Linked DNA regions of Rattus norvegicus. The protein of the gene in region 2 interacts with the protein of the main gene of each other region in a pairwise test. Links are inferred from orthologs where the notes say so. Each region holds a gene or a part of one and is shown on either strand. Other genes may lie near its edges. The genes, in order: Plscr3 and Stk16.

Evidence for each region.
Region 1: the proteins of Stk16 (region 2) and Plscr3 interact in binary tests that used the Homo sapiens proteins (3 or more experiments, as listed by UniProt). The two-hybrid records come from large-scale screens. The link is inferred for Rattus norvegicus from reciprocal best matches to the Homo sapiens genes STK16 and PLSCR3.

The regions. Positions count from the first base shown.
Region 1 is NC_086028.1:55,064,147-55,068,544, reverse strand, and holds the start of Plscr3 (phospholipid scramblase 3), read right to left. Parts: upstream 2,941-4,398; 5' UTR 2,879-2,940; intron 2,669-2,878; 5' UTR 2,507-2,668; coding exon 2,500-2,506; intron 2,239-2,499; coding exon 2,000-2,238; intron 1,917-1,999; coding exon 1,874-1,916; intron 1,772-1,873; coding exon 1,551-1,771; intron 1,368-1,550; coding exon 1,206-1,367; intron 1-1,205. UniProt on the Homo sapiens protein: Catalyzes calcium-induced ATP-independent rapid bidirectional and non-specific movement of the phospholipids (lipid scrambling or lipid flip-flop) between the inner and outer membrane of the mitochondria.
Region 2 is NC_086027.1:84,153,019-84,157,312, reverse strand, and holds the start of Stk16 (serine/threonine-protein kinase 16), read right to left. Parts: upstream 3,029-4,294; 5' UTR 2,834-3,028; intron 2,648-2,833; 5' UTR 2,559-2,647; coding exon 2,473-2,558; intron 1,942-2,472; coding exon 1,722-1,941; intron 1,435-1,721; coding exon 1,301-1,434; intron 1,153-1,300; coding exon 1,032-1,152; intron 906-1,031; coding exon 810-905; intron 449-809; coding exon 327-448; intron 218-326; coding exon 79-217; 3' UTR 1-78. UniProt on the Homo sapiens protein: Membrane-associated protein kinase that phosphorylates on serine and threonine residues. In vitro substrates include DRG1, ENO1 and EIF4EBP1. Also autophosphorylates. May be involved in secretory vesicle trafficking or intracellular signaling.

The DNA.
Region 1 (4,398 bases), on a different chromosome or scaffold from region 2:
CTAGAACTGAAGTAATTTCCTTCTACATCCTGTTCATCCTCGTCCTGCCTCATCCTGCAGCTGTAGGGAACTTCCTGCAGCCCAGTTCCAGGCTCCACAAAGTCTAGGGCCGACAACTCCGCAGCTCCCAGAGTGTGGCTCAAATATGGACCATTCAAGATTGAGTTCAAGGGACACTGACTCCCTGAGAGCCCTGTAACACACACACTCCCACCAGAGATCACACAATTATCTCCTCTCCAACCGGTTCTCAGCACAGAAACTGCCTCTGACTACCAAGGTGACTCACTCTTTTAAAGGCAACCTTAGGTGAAGAACCTCTACTGGAGGAAACTTGTTGTTTCTCCCTTATCAGAATGGGAAATCATCCCTTAAAGAGCTCAAGGATCAGAGCAGCACCGCTGCCTTCGAAGAGCCAGAGCTCCTCACCTGAGTTCCCCTGGCTCTGGGTTGGTGAGAGGAAAGCCTTCGTGAAAAGGACATCACCTGGACTTCAGGTTGGATGGGTCCTTTGGACTTCTAGGCTTGCAGGACAAGCCAAGGGTTAAATTATGAAAGGGCCTATGCTTACAGATAGGCACAGGGCTACCTGGGTCCAGCCCATGACAAACTTAAGCAGTGAAAGGCTGGGAGATGAGACTCCTCCACTTTAGGTCCAGGCTGGCCTCAGATGCTCCCCTAGGCCCTTGCTGGGCGGTAGGGAACACTTCAGCCTTGGACTGAAGAAGAAGAAGAAATGTTTTGGTTTCAGACAGGATCTTTCTATATAGTCTTGACTGTCCTGGAACTCACTAAGTAGATGTGAATTCAGAGATCTGCCTGCCTCTGCCTCTTGAGTGCTGAGATCAAAAGTGTGCGCTGTCATGAGGGGTTTTTTTGGTGTGCTTTTATAGGCTCACATTATTGGGTGGAAGAAAACTCAAAACGTAGCAGGGGTCACAAGAGATCGGGAATGGTAGGATTAAGGGTCTTGACCTTAAGCCATCCATTAGCATGGAGGCTATTGCCTCCCCCCCCCCCATTACATTGATTGATGGGTTGGTTGACTGTATGCACCACGGCGTGTGTGTGGAGAGGACAGTCTGCAGGAGTTGATTGTCTTCTTCCACCGTGTGGGACTCATGGCTACAGCCATCTCATCGGCCCCCATCTTGGTTTGTGAAGAGTCTAGAAACCAACCCCCCCCCCCCCCCAATTTATAATACCTCAAAGTTGGTGTCCGTCCCACAGCCACAAGTGCAGCAAGGCCCTACGACTCGTAGAACAGGTTGGCGATCTGCATCCAGGATGGAAAACTTGGGAATGAAGGGGTGCCAGGTCTGTAGCACATGGCCAATGGTGGTGCCAGGTGGGGCCTGGACTTCCATCTGGAAAGGGAAGCAGACAGGTCCACTGCCAAGCCACGGTACCTTGGCCAGCGCCCTATATTGCTGCTTGCTGTCTTCTGACTGATCAGACACTCGACCGCCCCGACTCCTCCTAAAGCCACAACTCTTTCTGGGCCGCTTACCACACTGCCCACCGACCACCACAAAACCTGTCATGCCCACCTCCTGAAGACCACAAGGACAGCAGCTGCAGCCGCAGTGAAGTGGGCGGAGGAGGCGGAGCACCTCGCGGTCCCCGGGGTCCGCTAGGCGGATACGAAGCGGCCGGCGGGCACCACAGCACAGCCGGGCACAGCAGTTGCTCTCCTCAGCTGCCTGACCCAGTTGCTGTCCGGTCCCGGAGCGAAGTTCATACCTATTACAGGTCTCCCAGCCTAGGAACGCTGTGAAGGGGAACACGCTGAGGCTCAGGGGCCTCACCTGCCCAGAAACTCACCACTGTCACAAACATCATGAAGCCCAACTTAATTCCACCTCCTACTCACTTTCCACTCGCTCAGCCTTCTGATGAATCAAGATTTGATCAATCTGTAAAGTGTTAAGAGCAGCGTTGACCTCATTCCTCACCTCGAACATCAGTCCTCCTCCCAGCCATCCTCTCTCCCACTCACCTGCACTAGGAATTCCAGGCCAGAAGGCACCCCTGGCAATGGCACGAAGGGACCAGGAGGCCCTGGGACCACCGGGCCTGGCGAGGGGAAGAGAGAGAAGCCAGGCGCAGGGGCAGGCCCCTGGGTGGGCACTGGAGCCTGTCCGGGTCCAGGATGCAGCGCCGCCGCCTCTGGATACCCAGCTGGCACGGGGTAGGGAGGTGGGGGCGAAGGGGCATAACCTTTGGGGGGCAAGTAGCCTGCAGGGGAGCAGGGGTAGATTAGAAAGTTACCTGTGTCCTTATCCTCTTTCTCAGCCCAAGGACCAGGAGCACCCGCGGAAAACGTAAGAAGAGGCAGAGAATGATGGGGCGGGGGGGGGGGGCAGGGCGGTGGTTTCCCAGGAGGAAGGGAGGGCCCCACGCAGCCAGTCTGAGCACATTCCTGGAGAATGTGTTCGACACCCGGCACCCAAGTTCGTGAGGGGGGATAACGGAGACCCCAACCTAGAGCCAACGTACCTGCCATGGGAAAGGGGAAGGGTGTCTTGGGCTGTCGGCGTAGGGGAGGCTTAGTTCTGGAGTGGGGACAAGCTTGGGAACAGCCAGACAGGCACAGAAACAAAGACGGACAAGCAGAGGCGAAGAGGCAGCTGCGCCCAGCACCGGCCCAGGGTCTCTTGGGAGGCACCTATGAAATCGAAAGTGTCAGCGGGCGGGGCGGGTTACCCAGGACCCTGAATTTCCTTAGGGGCCCCAGGACCGCCCCCTCCCTTTGTTCTCCCATTTCTTTTTGCGGAGATGGCTGTGGGCAGACGGCAGAGCAGTTGAACCTGAGGTCAAACAGATGACCTGACCCTGAGGAAAGTCTCCTTAACCCCTTTATGGTCCGGGCGCTCACCTGAAGCCCCCAGAATAAGAAAGCCGGGGGGGGGGGCCACGCACTCCCGGGCTCACAGGCGCTGGTGGAGGCGGGCCCAGATCTGACCCCACCCCCGGGTCGCCTAAGTCCCACCCCCAATCCGGGCGGGGCGACTGCGCAGAAAGCAGGCGCTTCTCCTCCCCCGGGGCCGCGGACCTTGGACCTTGTGCGCCTCGTTCGCCCTGGTCCCGCCCCTTCCGCTCCGACTGCAGAGGCGTGGAGACCTGGGCTGTCGGAGGGTGATTGCGGCCCTATCCCCAGCAACAAGACCCTCGCCTTTTCAGCGGGTGGCGGTTCTGCCTCCCCACCGCGTGGCTGCTCCGGACCCCGGGATCCTCCTCCCAAGGGCGGGTCGGGCCTCGCTGACGCAGCGGAACACTATTCACACTCCCTCATTGCCTTCCAGAGTTGGCTTGGCAGTCTTCTATCTCAGGGCGACCTCGCTGTGTTCTCTCCCTGTCACAGCGTTGACCCACTCAGTCACCTCTCAGTTCAGGCGCGCCCATTACACGCGTGACAGGCTTTCAAACGGTATCAGTAATGAATGTGCATGAGGTAAGGCTCAGGGAAAAACACTTGAACAGAACAGGCCCCTCCATTCCTCTGCATGGTGGCAAAGCTTGGAATCCCAGCATTTGGGAAAGGAGAGGCAGGAGAATAATTACAAGTATGAGGTCAGTCTGTTCTACATAGTTCCAGACCAATTCAGGGCTACAATTGGGGGGCTTTCTTAAAAGACTCCCTTTCTCAAAAGAAGAAAGCAAAGTATCTGGGCAGATGGGGTGGATCATGGGTTCCCGGTCAGCTTGGGAGTGACCTGGGTCACTAGGGGAGATATTAAAGAAACAAAGCCCAAAACAGCCCACCACTTGTGCCTGGGTCTTACATGCTACCAATTATATTTCCGTGCTTGGGATGCAGACTAGGGACTCTGAGAATTCTAGTTTTATTGTACAGCCAAAACAGCACTGCTGTGTTAGAAAAACCTAGGAGGCTGTAGGCAGGCAAAGGTAAGGAGAAATCTGGTCATAATGTGATGGATTGGACCAGAGACCAGGGCAGTGACGGTGGTCTTGATGTGCATCTGAGGAAACATGACTTCATTGTGCCTCAGAGACAGGATGTACAAAGAAGAAAATGAGCCTCTGAGGCTTCTGCACAGCATAGACCCCTATCCCTTGCCCTGCATTGCCCCATCATTTACAGCCTGCTCATGCAATCCCTGGCTTCAGGTATTTTGCTGTCTCTATTGACCCAGCACCTCTAAGATCCCGTTGTCTTCAGACACATCAGAAGAGGGCATCAGATCCCATTACAGATGGTTGTGAGCCACCATGTGGTTGCTGGGAATTGAACTCAGGACCTCTGGAAGAGCAGCCAGTGCTCTTAACCGCTGAGCCATCTCTGCAGCCCCTTTCGGGGACTTCTAACTAATGCTGGAAAGGCAGCCAATGAGCCAAAGCTTTACCAGCCCCCAAATTCTAAACAAGCCCTCTTCA
Region 2 (4,294 bases):
ATCTTGTGTAGATCAGAAGTTCCAATGAGGCATGAGAGCTGATTCAAGGTCATCTTCCCAATATGCTCACTGATTTGATCAGATTTGGGTGGTGTGCTGGCCAGGAGCTGGTGGCTGCAATGCCTCCAATTGACTGAGGAGGACAGGGATGTGAGGGCGTTGCTGGGGGTCCACAGTCATCATAGAGGCCAACAGCTGTCGCAATGCTGAAGAATGCCTGTGGGATGGGGAAGGCAGAGGACTGGAGGACACCTAGAACTGCTAGGATTCCAACTCGGCTGGCTCTAGGCCAAGTCTACAATGCTCAGTGTCCTCTTACTCCTCACCTGGGGCTTTGTGGGATGCTGAGGTCATTCTGCACAGCAAGGGCCACACTGTCACCTTTCTGGAACACCATATCATAAGGGCCTTCCCCAAACATCATTGCATAAAGCACACAGCCTAGGGACTGAGCATAATTTGGTTAGTTCCTGGAAGGTGAAAAATGGCATCTCTCTCCTTATTGCTATGGTAAAAGGAGACCATGTAAGCTAAAAATATGCCAACCTCGCTCCAAGGAACCATGTTAGCAGGAAGGAGGTCTGTGTGCCCCTGCTTAGCCAGTGCCTCTAGCAGTTCAGCCACAGTGATTGCACAGCTTCCTGAGAACAGTGTCAGTGATGGTTCCCAGGAAGGAAGTGGACGGGTATGGAGACATACTGTGGCTCTGGGGTTCCATGCAACAGAAACCAAGTCTCCTTCCCTTTAATCCAAAATAGTTACAAAGCCACACCCCTCTCCACCCAGGTTCCCACCCACATGCTCCTCACCCAGACATCAGTCCGCTCATCGATGACACAGTGGCTTTGCACAGAAAAAAGTTCAGGTGCCCGGTAGGAGATGGTGCACCGCTGGGCTGCCCAGTCCTGGAACAGTGTCCCCAGAGCTCAAAAGTGGAGCACAAGCCATATCATGTGACCAAATTGGTGCATGCATCAGAATGGTCTGGGGATGGGGAGGAGATGGCCAAAGAAACCTGGGGACTCTCTTACCTGTAGAGCTAGGGCCTGGCGAGATCCCTCCACTTGGATGCATGCTTGATTCATAGAACCCAAGTCCATTAAAACCGGCTGCCCCTCATCACCAAGCAAAATATTGGTGGGCTTCAGGTCCCTGGAGGGAAGTGAAAATGACCCAAAGGCATCCTGGGTAGGTAGGCTGGTATCCCAGGGAGCACCATGAAGAGAGTGCAGAGAAACCCCACTTCTCTTGGCATTGCTCTTTCCCCTGGCTTCAATAAGTGTAGGGCCCGCCCACTGACCTGTGTGCATAACCTTTGGCATGAATGGCCTCAAGGCCTCTGCAGATACCCAGCAACAACGGAAGGATTTGGTCTTCAGTCAGGAAGTTGCCTTGGTCCTTCAGCCTTTCTATCTCATTCCACAGTGTACCTCTCTACAACACAAGTTTTCCGTGTTGAGACATTCTGAAGCTTCCATTTCCCAGGATTCTATTTTGTGTTGAAGTCTGTCAACCCTTTTACCACATACACTCTCACTGATCATTTGGGGCTATGTGTGATGTCAAGTTCATAGGGGATCCTATGGTTCTCTGAGCCCCAAATATAAAGTGGCCAAAACCAGGGTGTGTGTTCCTAGGGTATTTATATTTGACTGCCCACAGAGCCCTTGGTGGGGTTGTACAATGCTACAATCCCCTCTATAACCACAAGCTTTTCTGACCTTGAAGAAGGGTAGCAGCAGCCAGGCTTCATGCTTAGCACCTCGTTCTTTCAAAGAGTAAGCCATGAGGCGAAGGATGTTTGGATGCTGGAAGAGGCGATGCATGTCTGCCTCTCGTTGGGCCTCTTCCTGGTCCTGCTGCTCATGACACAGGATTCGCTTCAGGGCGTAGAAGTGTCCATCATGTAAGCCCTCCACTAGGTCCACGTAGCTGAACCCACTGTGGGCCAAAGGGGTCGATGAAGGACCACGGTCGTCTCCCATATGGCTTAGACCCCGAGAAATTCCCTTAGGGAAGGGTGCCTCTCACATGGAGTAGAAACCCTCCCACGATGTAGTTCTCATATAGTTTCAAGACGTTAAGGTCTGCCATCTTCAAGAGCAGGGGCACAGAAATCACTGAGACCCTTTGGTCTGAGCATAAGATGCTCAATTAATTTCAAGTAACAATCAAAATTTAGTAAGTGCTCATGAGCCAGGCACTGGGTGACATGTTTTAAAGAATATACTATCTAACTTAGTTTTCTCACCAGTCCCTCAGTGAGACATTATAATCATCTCCGTTTAAGCAGAAGAAACCAGTTTACTTAAGGTCACACAAAGTAGATTCAGGAGGCCAGGGCCTAGAATACAATTCTTGACCTATTCAGCTAACCGGTCAGGTGAGGTAGAATCTAAGGCTAATACTCTTGTGTCCCTATTACTGCCCCTAAATGACCTGGGTCTAGCTAAGTGACTTCCATACACTCACCCCTCCCCCAATTTCTGGACGAAGAGGTAACGCTTATTGTCAATGATGACAGTTCCCCGGGAACAGACACACAGTGCATGGCCCATAGCGTCTCAGTCATCCTCTTCAAGGATGGTCTTTCTTCCAGGGAGAGTGGGCTCTTCCAGACGATGGGTTGGGGTCCCGGCGGATCATGCTGGAATGAAAACAGCAGGTCGCGGGTAAAGAACAATCCAGACAGCCACTGAGATACCAACCAGTAGAGCTCAGGTTCACCTCCGAGAACCCAGATTCACATCTAAAGAAAACAGTCCCTGGTGACTCCAGCTCTAAGAAGGCTGAGTTCTGGCACCCCAAAGCCTCAGGCCACGCTGTGTCTTACCAGGCCGCTTCCTTCAACCCCGGCCCACCTTCGGCCAGGTCCAGCTCTCACACCCGTGAGGCATGGGGTGGCGCAGTAGGTGCGGGACTCGAGCCCACCTCTGGCCGAGTCCACCCTCCGTCGCTGAGGACCGAGCACAGGATCTGCCAATACAAACTCTTCAGTGACCTGGCTCCTGCCTGTGCAAAGGGCCAGGGACCGGAAGCTACGGTGACATCATCAGTCCGCGTCGAAGTAACGGCCTGCTGTATCCTAGCAACAAGAGGCGGCAAGAGGATGTGGGGACCCGGAAGTGAGAGGCCGGGGCCGGGCTAGACCTGGGGTGGGTTGGTTTCTATATCTCGCCGAGGGTTCCCACTTGCCCTTCAGTAAGGGTCAAGACGCAGGGACTTGTACCAAAGGGGAGCAAAGCAGGGCTCTGCCCGAGTCCCCTAGGACCTCCGTCTCTCAATGTCGGAGGTAGGAGGCCTTATAGCTCCCGCGCGCTGGAGTTAGAAAGTGACTTATTACAATCTAGCTTTGAGGAGGGACCAGAGAAAGGCGGGTGCTGACCCTTAGATCCCTGGAGGTCTGACCCCTTAATACTTTTAGGGGTCTGGCCTGTGTTCCACTACCTGGCCAGTGTCAGAGTGTGCCCTTGAACTAGATGCCAGTTTCTAAATCTGGTCCTAACAGTCTCCTAGCTTTGTCACCTCCAGGAATTAGTCTTTCAGATCCGCATGTTTCCCAGCTGTAAGTCAGTACCTACAGCAAAGTGTTGTGAATTATGAGGCCAAAGTGACTAGTTCAATCCCAGCTCTACTGAACTAGTTGTGACTTTGGACAGTCACGTAATATTTCCAACCTTCATTTTCCTCGTGTGTAAGATGAGAATGAAAATCATTTCATGGGCTGTTTCAAAACTAAATGAGATGTCTTTTGTACAGTTTTTGAAACATAGCCTTCAGTGTGTGTTAATAAACAGAAATTATAGTATTTTCTACCCTGACCCTGAAATCCACTGGTGTGAAGGCAGAAGAAATGGAAAATTAGACTTCTAAGCTTATGCAGTTTTCGTCACATCTCCTGCCTAGACAGACAGGTATATATTGGAAAGGGGTGCGCCTTAAAAATAAGAGTGACCAGAACAGGCTCCTTGTAACCCATTTCCCCTTTTCATAGTCATGATCACCATGAAGATTTTCTGGTTTCCACTGTTTCTGAATCCGTTTTGACCCTACTGCTACCATTCATATAGATTTAGCCTGATTTGTGCCAGATCCTTTGCTAGTCATGAGGACATAAGACGCCGTTCCCGCCCTCCGAGAGTTCAGCGTAGAAGAGCAAGCTTGTTAAAGTACAGACTTTAATTCTACAGGTCTGGGGTAGGACCCGAGATTCTGCGTTTCTAACTAGCTCCCAGGTGATGCTAATGGAGTTGATTCGGGTTCAGCACTTCGAGAAGTAATATATAGAGGATTT